Linked DNA regions of Saccharomyces cerevisiae S288C. Changing the gene in region 2 together with the main gene of any one other region gives a genetic interaction. Each region holds a gene or a part of one and is shown on either strand. Other genes may lie near its edges.

The links.
Region 1: of FOX2 (region 2) and PXA2, changing one enhances a phenotype caused by changing the other (phenotypic enhancement), as found in Saccharomyces cerevisiae (one study listed by BioGRID).

Annotation. Positions count from the first base shown.
Region 1 is NC_001143.9:85,490-90,710, reverse strand, and holds PXA2 (ATP-binding cassette long-chain fatty acid transporter PXA2), read left to right. Parts: upstream 1-1,924; coding exon 1,925-4,486; downstream 4,487-5,221. Other genes in the region: FAT3 (Fat3p), read left to right, coding at 1-1,427; HYM1 (Hym1p), read right to left, coding at 4,808-5,221.
Region 2 is NC_001143.9:453,834-459,273, reverse strand, and holds FOX2 (bifunctional hydroxyacyl-CoA dehydrogenase/enoyl-CoA hydratase FOX2), read left to right. Parts: upstream 1-2,219; coding exon 2,220-4,922; downstream 4,923-5,440. Other genes in the region: TOF2 (Tof2p), read left to right, coding at 1-350; RSC4 (Rsc4p), read right to left, coding at 5,196-5,440. UniProt on the Saccharomyces cerevisiae protein: Second trifunctional enzyme acting on the beta-oxidation pathway for fatty acids, possessing hydratase-dehydrogenase-epimerase activities. Converts trans-2-enoyl-CoA via D-3-hydroxyacyl-CoA to 3-ketoacyl-CoA.

The DNA.
Region 1 (5,221 bases), 370 kb from region 2:
TAGTGCCGCAGGCAAGCGCCCCCGCATTTGATGCAGTGGAATTGCTGCTAAACCAGACCACCTCTACAAATCAGACATTGAGCACTCTATCTGATTTGCTGGAACAAAACCTCACTCAGTCATCATCTGCAAAAAAGGCGTTTGCTGCCTTAACCCAATTGATGGAAAATTCGGACAACTCGACAATGGTTGTCACTTCGGTCCAATCTCTAGCTGCGGTGACAAATACAACTCAATCTACTCAACAGCTAATTGGATTAGATGATGTGATAAGCTCCTCGAGTAACACCAACGAAACTTTGTCCATCTTGTCCGAATTACAATCGGGCCTATCCGGTAATTCAAGCTCCGTACAGTACATTCCATATCTCTTCAGTCTTTTAGGGGCATCCACTGATCCTAAAACAACATTTTCATCTTTAGTGACGCTGACTTCCTGGGCTCAAGAAAACCCTCAGACCTTCTTGCCCATTTTAGATATATTAGCGGATGCCAAATCCGTCCAACCGATTTCCGCAGAAGAATTGAACGCCATGACGCCGAATATACTAGAGTATCTGAAAATTCCGATTTACTATCGCTTATCCATTTTCACGCTATGCCATGCTAACCTGGAAAACAAGATCCTAGATTGTAACTCCCCACATGCTGTACAAAACTTGGATTTTAGATCGATTATTTATGACGCATTAGTCACATCAGACTTCCAACCATATCTGAACGCCCTGAATATTAGCGCCAACGATCTTTACCTAGAAGGGAAACTTTTACACAGAGAGCACCAATATGTGCCAGCAGTGAGGTCTGTTTTGGCTTTGAACCTCTTAGCGATCATCTTTTCCTTCTTTACCATGATTTTTATTATATTACTGTACTTTAACAGATATATGTTCAAACAACCATTATGGCTCATTGCCCTAGCTCTACACGTTTGCGTTGGTGTAGCCACTGTATTGGCAGCCATTATCATATCCGTTATGATTGCCATTATAAAGAGCGGTACGGCAGATGATAAATATGGTGTTGTGTTTAAAGCCGGTCCCGCCTATACAGGGCTGATATGGACAGCATTTGCGTTGTCTTTTATCGCCACAGGATTGATAATTTATACGTGGTGGAGGAACAGACGGAGTGGTCGTTACATGTCCGGATCTGTGACGAATAGGAAAGGCGAAATTTACACGTATGGGGATGGTTCTGCCATTTCTGCAGACCGTTTCGGCGACCATAACTTGGGTGATGATGATGATGCTGATTTCGAAAAACAGGTGAATCGTAATGAAATAACCGCTATCGACAACAGTAGTTCTGCCAATAATACAGATGTCACAGGTAGTACGAGTAATAGAACAGAGCTAAGTCACCCCGACGTGACACCAAAAGATTCAAATGGACCTGTTAACAATAATGCACATTTGGTAGCATAATTTTTTTCTTTTTCGTAAATGCTCTATCACTTTTTTTCAATTGTACCAAACCATTTACAGCGTTATCTTAATCTCTTATATTGAATTATAGTACATACCACACCATCATCCTTATTTAATAGCTTTATTTAAATTTCAAAACAAAAATTAATAATAATTTGGTAATTATTCATATTTTTGGAATATATGCAATTAATGTTCTTTCGTCTTTGATGTATATTCCTTCGGCGTTAATTACAACTATCACCGTAAAGTTTTTACCACCCTCCGAAAGATTAAGGGCGGCAATGAAATGTGGAGTAAAGTGAATGTTAGATGATGATATTGATGGCTTTGCTCGATCAAAGATAATATTATATTTAAGTATCATCTTGTCCTCAATCCGGTACAAAACAAACGTCTTCAACATTGTTATCTGTATTTTGTTCGTCTTGAATATGGAAAAGACTCAAAAGGGATAATAATACAATTAAAAGTTACCGAAGAAAGATTTTATAATGATCTCAACAGCTTCTGCATTTTATCAGAAGCATAGAGTAAATTTACTGCGTTCTTCATACATAATATTGTTGCTAGCCACGCTTTACAATTCAAATTCCAGTTCTAGTAACAACAAAACTGATAAGAAGGATTCTGAGTCAACGGTTTTAGAAAATAAGAAAATTGAAGAGGGAAAAGAAACCGCAGTAGATAGAGAGGAAGATGAAAGTAGCAAAGAAGAGTTAACGATAGTCTCCAAACATAGCACAGATTCAGAAGATGGTGCAATAATAATTGATAAAGAAAGCAAGACTAATCATAAGGGGGGAGAGCGAAAAGGAAAGGTAGATTTTTTGTTCAAACTTTTGCTTCATGATAAGAAGTGCCTCATTTTATTTATTACACAGGCTATTCTTCTGAACATCAGAACATTGCTGTCTCTTCGTGTGGCTACTTTAGATGGTCAATTAGTGTCCACACTAGTAAGAGCTCAATACGCAAACTTCACAAAGATATTGTTGGGGAAATGGATGATCCTTGGAATTCCCGCCAGTTTTATTAATTCACTGATCAGTTACACGACAAAACTTTGTGCTGTCACTATTAATAGGAAAGTTTCAGACTTTCTACTCTCAAAGTATCTATCTAATCACCATACTTTCTATTCCGTAGCTTCTGCTGAATCTGTTTCAGAAATTCAGGATAATTTGACAAAAGATATTTACACATTTTCAATGAACTCGTCATTATTACTGAATCAGCTATTAAAGCCAATGCTGGATTTGATCCTCTGTTCATTCAAATTATTAACCTCAAACACTAGTGTTATGGGTGAAGGAACTTTGGCACTGGGCTTAATTGTCTACGCCTCCAATTCATTACTAAAATTGATTCAACCGAATTTCACTAGGTTAACTATGGCAAGCGCATCTTTGGAAAGTTGGTTCAGATCTTTACACTCGAATCTACATTCAAGCAATGAAGAAATTGCACTGCTAAGAGGGCAAAAGAGGGAACTAGAAAACGTTGATTATTCATTTTACCGTTTGGTGCTATTTTTAAACAGAGAAATAAAGGCAAGAGCTATTTATGATGTTGCTACTGCATTTGTCATTAAATATACTTGGGGCGCAGCTGGCTTGGTACTATGCTCGATTCCAATATTTTTCAAAAACAAACCTAGTGAAGACACCTTACAGCTTAAGGAACCCGGGAATGATATGACGGCTGATTTCATCACAAATAGAAGATTATTAGTCACTGCATCTAGCTCTATCGGAAGATTTGTGGAACTGAAGAGAAATATACAACAATTACGCGGTATCAGATTGAGATTGAACAAGTTCAATGATTTGTTGGATGCTAATAAAGGTGATGACGAAAAAGAACCAAGAGATGAAAGGTGTATAGTGGAATATGATGATTCAAGGATAAAGTTTGAAAATATTCCTTTAATAACACCTGCCAATCAAGTTCTAGTACCGGAGCTAAGTTTTGATCTGAAGCATGGAAATCATCTACTAATTATTGGGCCCAACGGTTGCGGTAAATCTTCATTATTTCGTATTCTAGGCGGGCTTTGGCCGATAAGGGCGACTCCCAATAAAAATCATCAATCCAAGTTAATAATGCCGCGTAGAACTGTGGATAGAGATTGCGCAATATTTTATTTACCCCAAAGGCCGTATATGGGCAATAGGTCGACATTCAGGGAACAGATTATTTATCCAGACAGTATTGAACAATTCAAAGAAAGATATCACAATGATTATGATCTAGGCGATGCAGATTTAATAAAAATTCTGCAATTATTAGATTTGGAGGATTTAGTCACTGAAAATATGTCACTTCTGCTGGCGCAAAGGACTTCCAAAAATGATTCACAGCAGTTGTCGACGGAAGACAATCAGTCACCATGCGCCATTAAAGTTCGTGATGCATTCAGTATAGTAAGAAATTGGTCCGAAGAATTAACAATTGGTGTCCAACAAAGGTTAGCTATGGCAAGGATGTACTATCATAAACCCAAGTTTGCTGTGCTCGACGAATGTACATCTGCAGTAGCCCCAGAAATGGAACAAAGGATGTACGAAAATGCGCAAAATTTTGGTATCTCGTTAATATCAGTTTGCCACAGGACAAGTTTATGGCATTTTCATAACTATCTGTTAAAATTTGATGGTAAAGGCGGATACCAATTTGGACCGTTTAACCCGAAGGAAAGGTTATGTAATGAAGAAAAACTTCTTGAACTAAATGCCATCTTGGATCAACAGGTGCCACTTTGGGAGCGGAAGTTGAAAGATCTGACAATTGCTAAAGAATCCAACATCATTCGTAAATCAGAAACTAACCTGAATCTTTTTGAAAAGATCGAAGATCCAAAAACGTCCAAATCTAATGCATTGTTTAATGCAAATAAAGGGCAGCGAATCACATCACCTACAGGGCAGGAGACTAGTAAGAGATTACCACTATTTTCCCAACCATCTAGTTCAGCATCATCAAATTTACTAAGAAACAATAAAAGCTTGAACAAAAAAGTTAAAACAAAAAAGGAAGAAGGAAAGGAGAGGTAACATACATAGCCAAAGGAGGATCCAAATCATGTATAAATTGGATAAATAAATTGTTTTATAATAATTTAATATCTTGAGAAAGCGCTCATATTTACGGTTGATTGCTCAATTCCATGTACCGGATCCAACTGTACTGGCTTCCTCAGCCTCCGGTACCAACCTTTTTTTGTATAAATACGTAAAAATACAAAAGTCTGAACTATTTTTCCCTTTTTATGCAAATAAACACTTTCCTATATATAATTTTACTTTTGAATATTCATGTCACGACCCACTGCCTGAGAACTTTCCATTTTTTATAAAGTGAACCAAGTTTTATAGTTATCTTGAATCAGGTGAAGTTGAATGTGTTAAGATGGATGATTGATTGTTCATTACTGATGATGGAGAAGTTATACTGGCGACGTTACTTGAGGATGCATTATTATTAGAAACTTCTGTTGTGGACGAAATTATACGCGGCAAGGAATCAATTTCTTGAACGATGAATTCTCTTTCATCAAGAAAAGTAGAATCCTGAGAATCTAAACCGAAAGTTTTAAAATACGTCAATAGTTTATCTCTGTTTTTAACAAGAATGTCAAAAACAGGTTTTGACTTCCTTGGGTTTGCTACCATCACCTTGAATACGTTGAAAGCTTCAAGTTGTAAGTTTTTAGATTTGTCAGTCATTAAAGTCATTATGAGCTTTAAGTTTTCTGGGGAGTTGATATATATATTCATCAACGCGTTGTT
Region 2 (5,440 bases):
TGCCAGTTATGAATTCAACTCCTGGAAAAAGAAAAAATGGCCAAGCGATACCGTCCAGTTTAGAAAGAACACCGCAGCTCAAGAAAGTCAAGGTTACCAGGTCGCATTCTTCACCTTCTTCTTCTTCTTCCATGTCACTTGAATCTTCATTGGATAGCTCTTCCTCAGATGATTCGGATGATGATTCTGATTCGAGGAACGTGCAAGTTAAAAAAATTAATTTCAAAACAAGTCATGGACCAGCTGGAAATTCTAATGGAAAACCAATGCTGGATGTGGATGACAATGAAATAAATACAAAGAAGTACCAAACACCTAAATATGTTGAAAGTGATGAAGACGACCAGTAAGTCTGTCAGTAATTATGTTGGGATCTCTCAACCATATCTTAAATATTCTTGGCGAATTGTAGTAATTTTTTAGACTGGTTAATGATATCATAATTAAATCTTCAAAAGCAACCAACAAAAGAGAACTAATAGCGTACGGTATGCATCAATTATATATGATTATAACGGACTTTTATTCATGGACGTTTATATCATTCTGGATTATTCGTCATTATTGTTCATTGTTGAACACAATATAAAAAAATATAAAATATGGTTGCTAAGAGATTCGAACTCTTGCATCTTACGATACCTGAGTATTCCCACAGTTAACTGCGGTCAAGATATTTCTTGAATCAGGCGCCTTAGACCGCTCGGCCAAACAACCACTTATTTGTTGAAAATTTTAGAATTCAAGTATACCCAGTCATGTATTAAGTTAATCTTTATGTCATCTTTCTAAACTTTATATGTGTTGGAATAAAAATCCACTATCGTCTATCAACTAATAGTTATATTATCAATATATTATCATATACGGTGTTAAGATGATGACATAAGTTATGAGAAGCTGTCATCGAAGTTAGAGGAAGCTGAAGTGCAAGGATTGATAATGTAATAGGATAATGAAACATATAAAACGGAATGAGGAATAATCGTAATATTAGTATGTAGAAATATAGATTCCATTTTGGGGATTCCTAGACCGGAGAGGAGAACTTCTAGTATATTCTGTATACCTAATATTATAGCCTTTATCAACAATGGAATCCCAACAATTATCTCAACATTCACCCATTTCTCAATATGACAACATAGATATTAGTTGATTTTTATTGCAACATTTATATGTATGAAGAGATGACTCTAAACACTAAAGCTATAGTCATATCTGATACAATCGATCAGTGCGTGCCTTTAATACTTCTCTCATTATAGAACGATACCTTTGATTCCTAGTTTACAATACAACAATATCGAAAATTCTTTCACGAATGCACCATTCAGAAGGGGAAAGAGTGACTTTACACAAAATTTGTATTGGAATAATAATCAACGATCATGTGACTACTATTCAAATTACTAGTAAGAAATCCCAACAATCATCATAAATTCACCTATTTCTGAATTTAAAGTCCCTTTCATTTCCTATTGAATTATTAATCGCTACATTTCTGCTATTGTAAAATTGATGACAATTTATTTAGCTGATTTTTCAATTTACGCTATCAATTAAACTACTGTACGTGATACTATTCTAGCAGCACAGTAGATTTCACTAACCCGTTATGTTGAGTAGTTATGGTGCATTAAAAATTGAGTACGTAGCGATAAAAAACAAGAATATTCAGGAACTTGAGCTAAGGCAAGGCTGGAAGAGAATCAATAGTTTCTAAAGTTTTTATCGTTTTGTTTATGCTTCGATATTTTTACTTCGTTCATTTTGATATCTAGAGGCAGCTTCCCTTCTGATTCTCCCGAGTCTGTTACGGTAATTGTTTACATAAACAAAAAGAGTATCCTAATATTCGATCACTTCTCTCAAGTCTTGTTGTAAGCCTTAATTTCTTAATCTTGTGTGGTTCCGGAAGCCTAGTTTTAAGTCCGAAAGTGATCGACGGGGAAATTTGTTAACGCCGTATCCGTACTAGAACTCTCGGCGGTTATTTGCCAATTTTTACTCCAACGGGGATCAACATCAGCAAGAAAGCAAAGGAGGATGGGGTAAAAAAACAAGGAAGACAAGTAAAGAAATTATATAAGAAGTCGTTTCTGGCTGCTTTACTCCCAGTGTTGAAAGGTAGAAGGACTTATCAGCTAATTTATTAAGCAAGGTACACATATACGAAGCTAAACAAACATTCGATTTATTTCTTATTTGAGTAAGCCATGCCTGGAAATTTATCCTTCAAAGATAGAGTTGTTGTAATCACGGGCGCTGGAGGGGGCTTAGGTAAGGTGTATGCACTAGCTTACGCAAGCAGAGGTGCAAAAGTGGTCGTCAATGATCTAGGTGGCACTTTGGGTGGTTCAGGACATAACTCCAAAGCTGCAGACTTAGTGGTGGATGAGATAAAAAAAGCCGGAGGTATAGCTGTGGCAAATTACGACTCTGTTAATGAAAATGGAGAGAAAATAATTGAAACGGCTATAAAAGAATTCGGCAGGGTTGATGTACTAATTAACAACGCTGGAATATTAAGGGATGTTTCATTTGCAAAGATGACAGAACGTGAGTTTGCATCTGTGGTAGATGTTCATTTGACAGGTGGCTATAAGCTATCGCGTGCTGCTTGGCCTTATATGCGCTCTCAGAAATTTGGTAGAATCATTAACACCGCTTCCCCTGCCGGTCTATTTGGAAATTTTGGTCAAGCTAATTATTCAGCAGCTAAAATGGGCTTAGTTGGTTTGGCGGAAACCCTCGCGAAGGAGGGTGCCAAATACAACATTAATGTTAATTCAATTGCGCCATTGGCTAGATCACGTATGACAGAAAACGTGTTACCACCACATATCTTGAAACAGTTAGGACCGGAAAAAATTGTTCCCTTAGTACTCTATTTGACACACGAAAGTACGAAAGTGTCAAACTCCATTTTTGAACTCGCTGCTGGATTCTTTGGACAGCTCAGATGGGAGAGGTCTTCTGGACAAATTTTCAATCCAGACCCCAAGACATATACTCCTGAAGCAATTTTAAATAAGTGGAAGGAAATCACAGACTATAGGGACAAGCCATTTAACAAAACTCAGCATCCATATCAACTCTCGGATTATAATGATTTAATCACCAAAGCAAAAAAATTACCTCCCAATGAACAAGGCTCAGTGAAAATCAAGTCGCTTTGCAACAAAGTCGTAGTAGTTACGGGTGCAGGAGGTGGTCTTGGGAAGTCTCATGCAATCTGGTTTGCACGGTACGGTGCGAAGGTAGTTGTAAATGACATCAAGGATCCTTTTTCAGTTGTTGAAGAAATAAATAAACTATATGGTGAAGGCACAGCCATTCCAGATTCCCATGATGTGGTCACCGAAGCTCCTCTCATTATCCAAACTGCAATAAGTAAGTTTCAGAGAGTAGACATCTTGGTCAATAACGCTGGTATTTTGCGTGACAAATCTTTTTTAAAAATGAAAGATGAGGAATGGTTTGCTGTCCTGAAAGTCCACCTTTTTTCCACATTTTCATTGTCAAAAGCAGTATGGCCAATATTTACCAAACAAAAGTCTGGATTTATTATCAATACTACTTCTACCTCAGGAATTTATGGTAATTTTGGACAGGCCAATTATGCCGCTGCAAAAGCCGCCATTTTAGGATTCAGTAAAACTATTGCACTGGAAGGTGCCAAGAGAGGAATTATTGTTAATGTTATCGCTCCTCATGCAGAAACGGCTATGACAAAGACTATATTCTCGGAGAAGGAATTATCAAACCACTTTGATGCATCTCAAGTCTCCCCACTTGTTGTTTTGTTGGCATCTGAAGAACTACAAAAGTATTCTGGAAGAAGGGTTATTGGCCAATTATTCGAAGTTGGCGGTGGTTGGTGTGGGCAAACCAGATGGCAAAGAAGTTCCGGTTATGTTTCTATTAAAGAGACTATTGAACCGGAAGAAATTAAAGAAAATTGGAACCACATCACTGATTTCAGTCGCAACACTATCAACCCGAGCTCCACAGAGGAGTCTTCTATGGCAACCTTGCAAGCCGTGCAAAAAGCGCACTCTTCAAAGGAGTTGGATGATGGATTATTCAAGTACACTACCAAGGATTGTATCTTGTACAATTTAGGACTTGGATGCACAAGCAAAGAGCTTAAGTACACCTACGAGAATGATCCAGACTTCCAAGTTTTGCCCACGTTCGCCGTCATTCCATTTATGCAAGCTACTGCCACACTAGCTATGGACAATTTAGTCGATAACTTCAATTATGCAATGTTACTGCATGGAGAACAATATTTTAAGCTCTGCACGCCGACAATGCCAAGTAATGGAACTCTAAAGACACTTGCTAAACCTTTACAAGTACTTGACAAGAATGGTAAAGCCGCTTTAGTTGTTGGTGGCTTCGAAACTTATGACATTAAAACTAAGAAACTCATAGCTTATAACGAAGGATCGTTCTTCATCAGGGGCGCACATGTACCTCCAGAAAAGGAAGTGAGGGATGGGAAAAGAGCCAAGTTTGCTGTCCAAAATTTTGAAGTGCCACATGGAAAGGTACCAGATTTTGAGGCGGAGATTTCTACGAATAAAGATCAAGCCGCATTGTACAGGTTATCTGGCGATTTCAATCCTTTACATATCGATCCCACGCTAGCCAAAGCAGTTAAATTTCCTACGCCAATTCTGCATGGGCTTTGTACATTAGGTATTAGTGCGAAAGCATTGTTTGAACATTATGGTCCATATGAGGAGTTGAAAGTGAGATTTACCAATGTTGTTTTCCCAGGTGATACTCTAAAGGTTAAAGCTTGGAAGCAAGGCTCGGTTGTCGTTTTTCAAACAATTGATACGACCAGAAACGTCATTGTATTGGATAACGCCGCTGTAAAACTATCGCAGGCAAAATCTAAACTATAATACAAAAAAAGATTTGAATAATATAAAAAATAGCGATTATATTCTTTTCATTTAACAGCTTTGTTAAGCCATATCCTTACATACATCTTTCCCTACATAACTAACCTACCCATTTTAAGTACTTTTTCTTTACGGACGCAACTTTTTTGTCATGTGTAATATTAACAGTTTTAATCTATATAGAGGAAGAGGATGGATAATATTACAAAGTGTATATAGGTTGTATATAGATACATGCATATGATGGGAAGACTATGAAGAGAGAGATAGTCATCATGGTAAGACATTTATCCAGAAATTCATGAATTCCGTTTCATGAGATATTTTGTCCTCACACCTAAACATCAAATGATTTAAACCTTCTGATAAGCGAATATCAAAGATTTCGGTTATATTATTACGTTTATCATTATCGTTACCAACAATATCGTTATTGTTGCCGCCGCCGATTGTCAAATTTTCTATATCTTGCTTCGTATCGTTTCCAATAACATCATTTTCTTGTTGCTGAGGTTGGG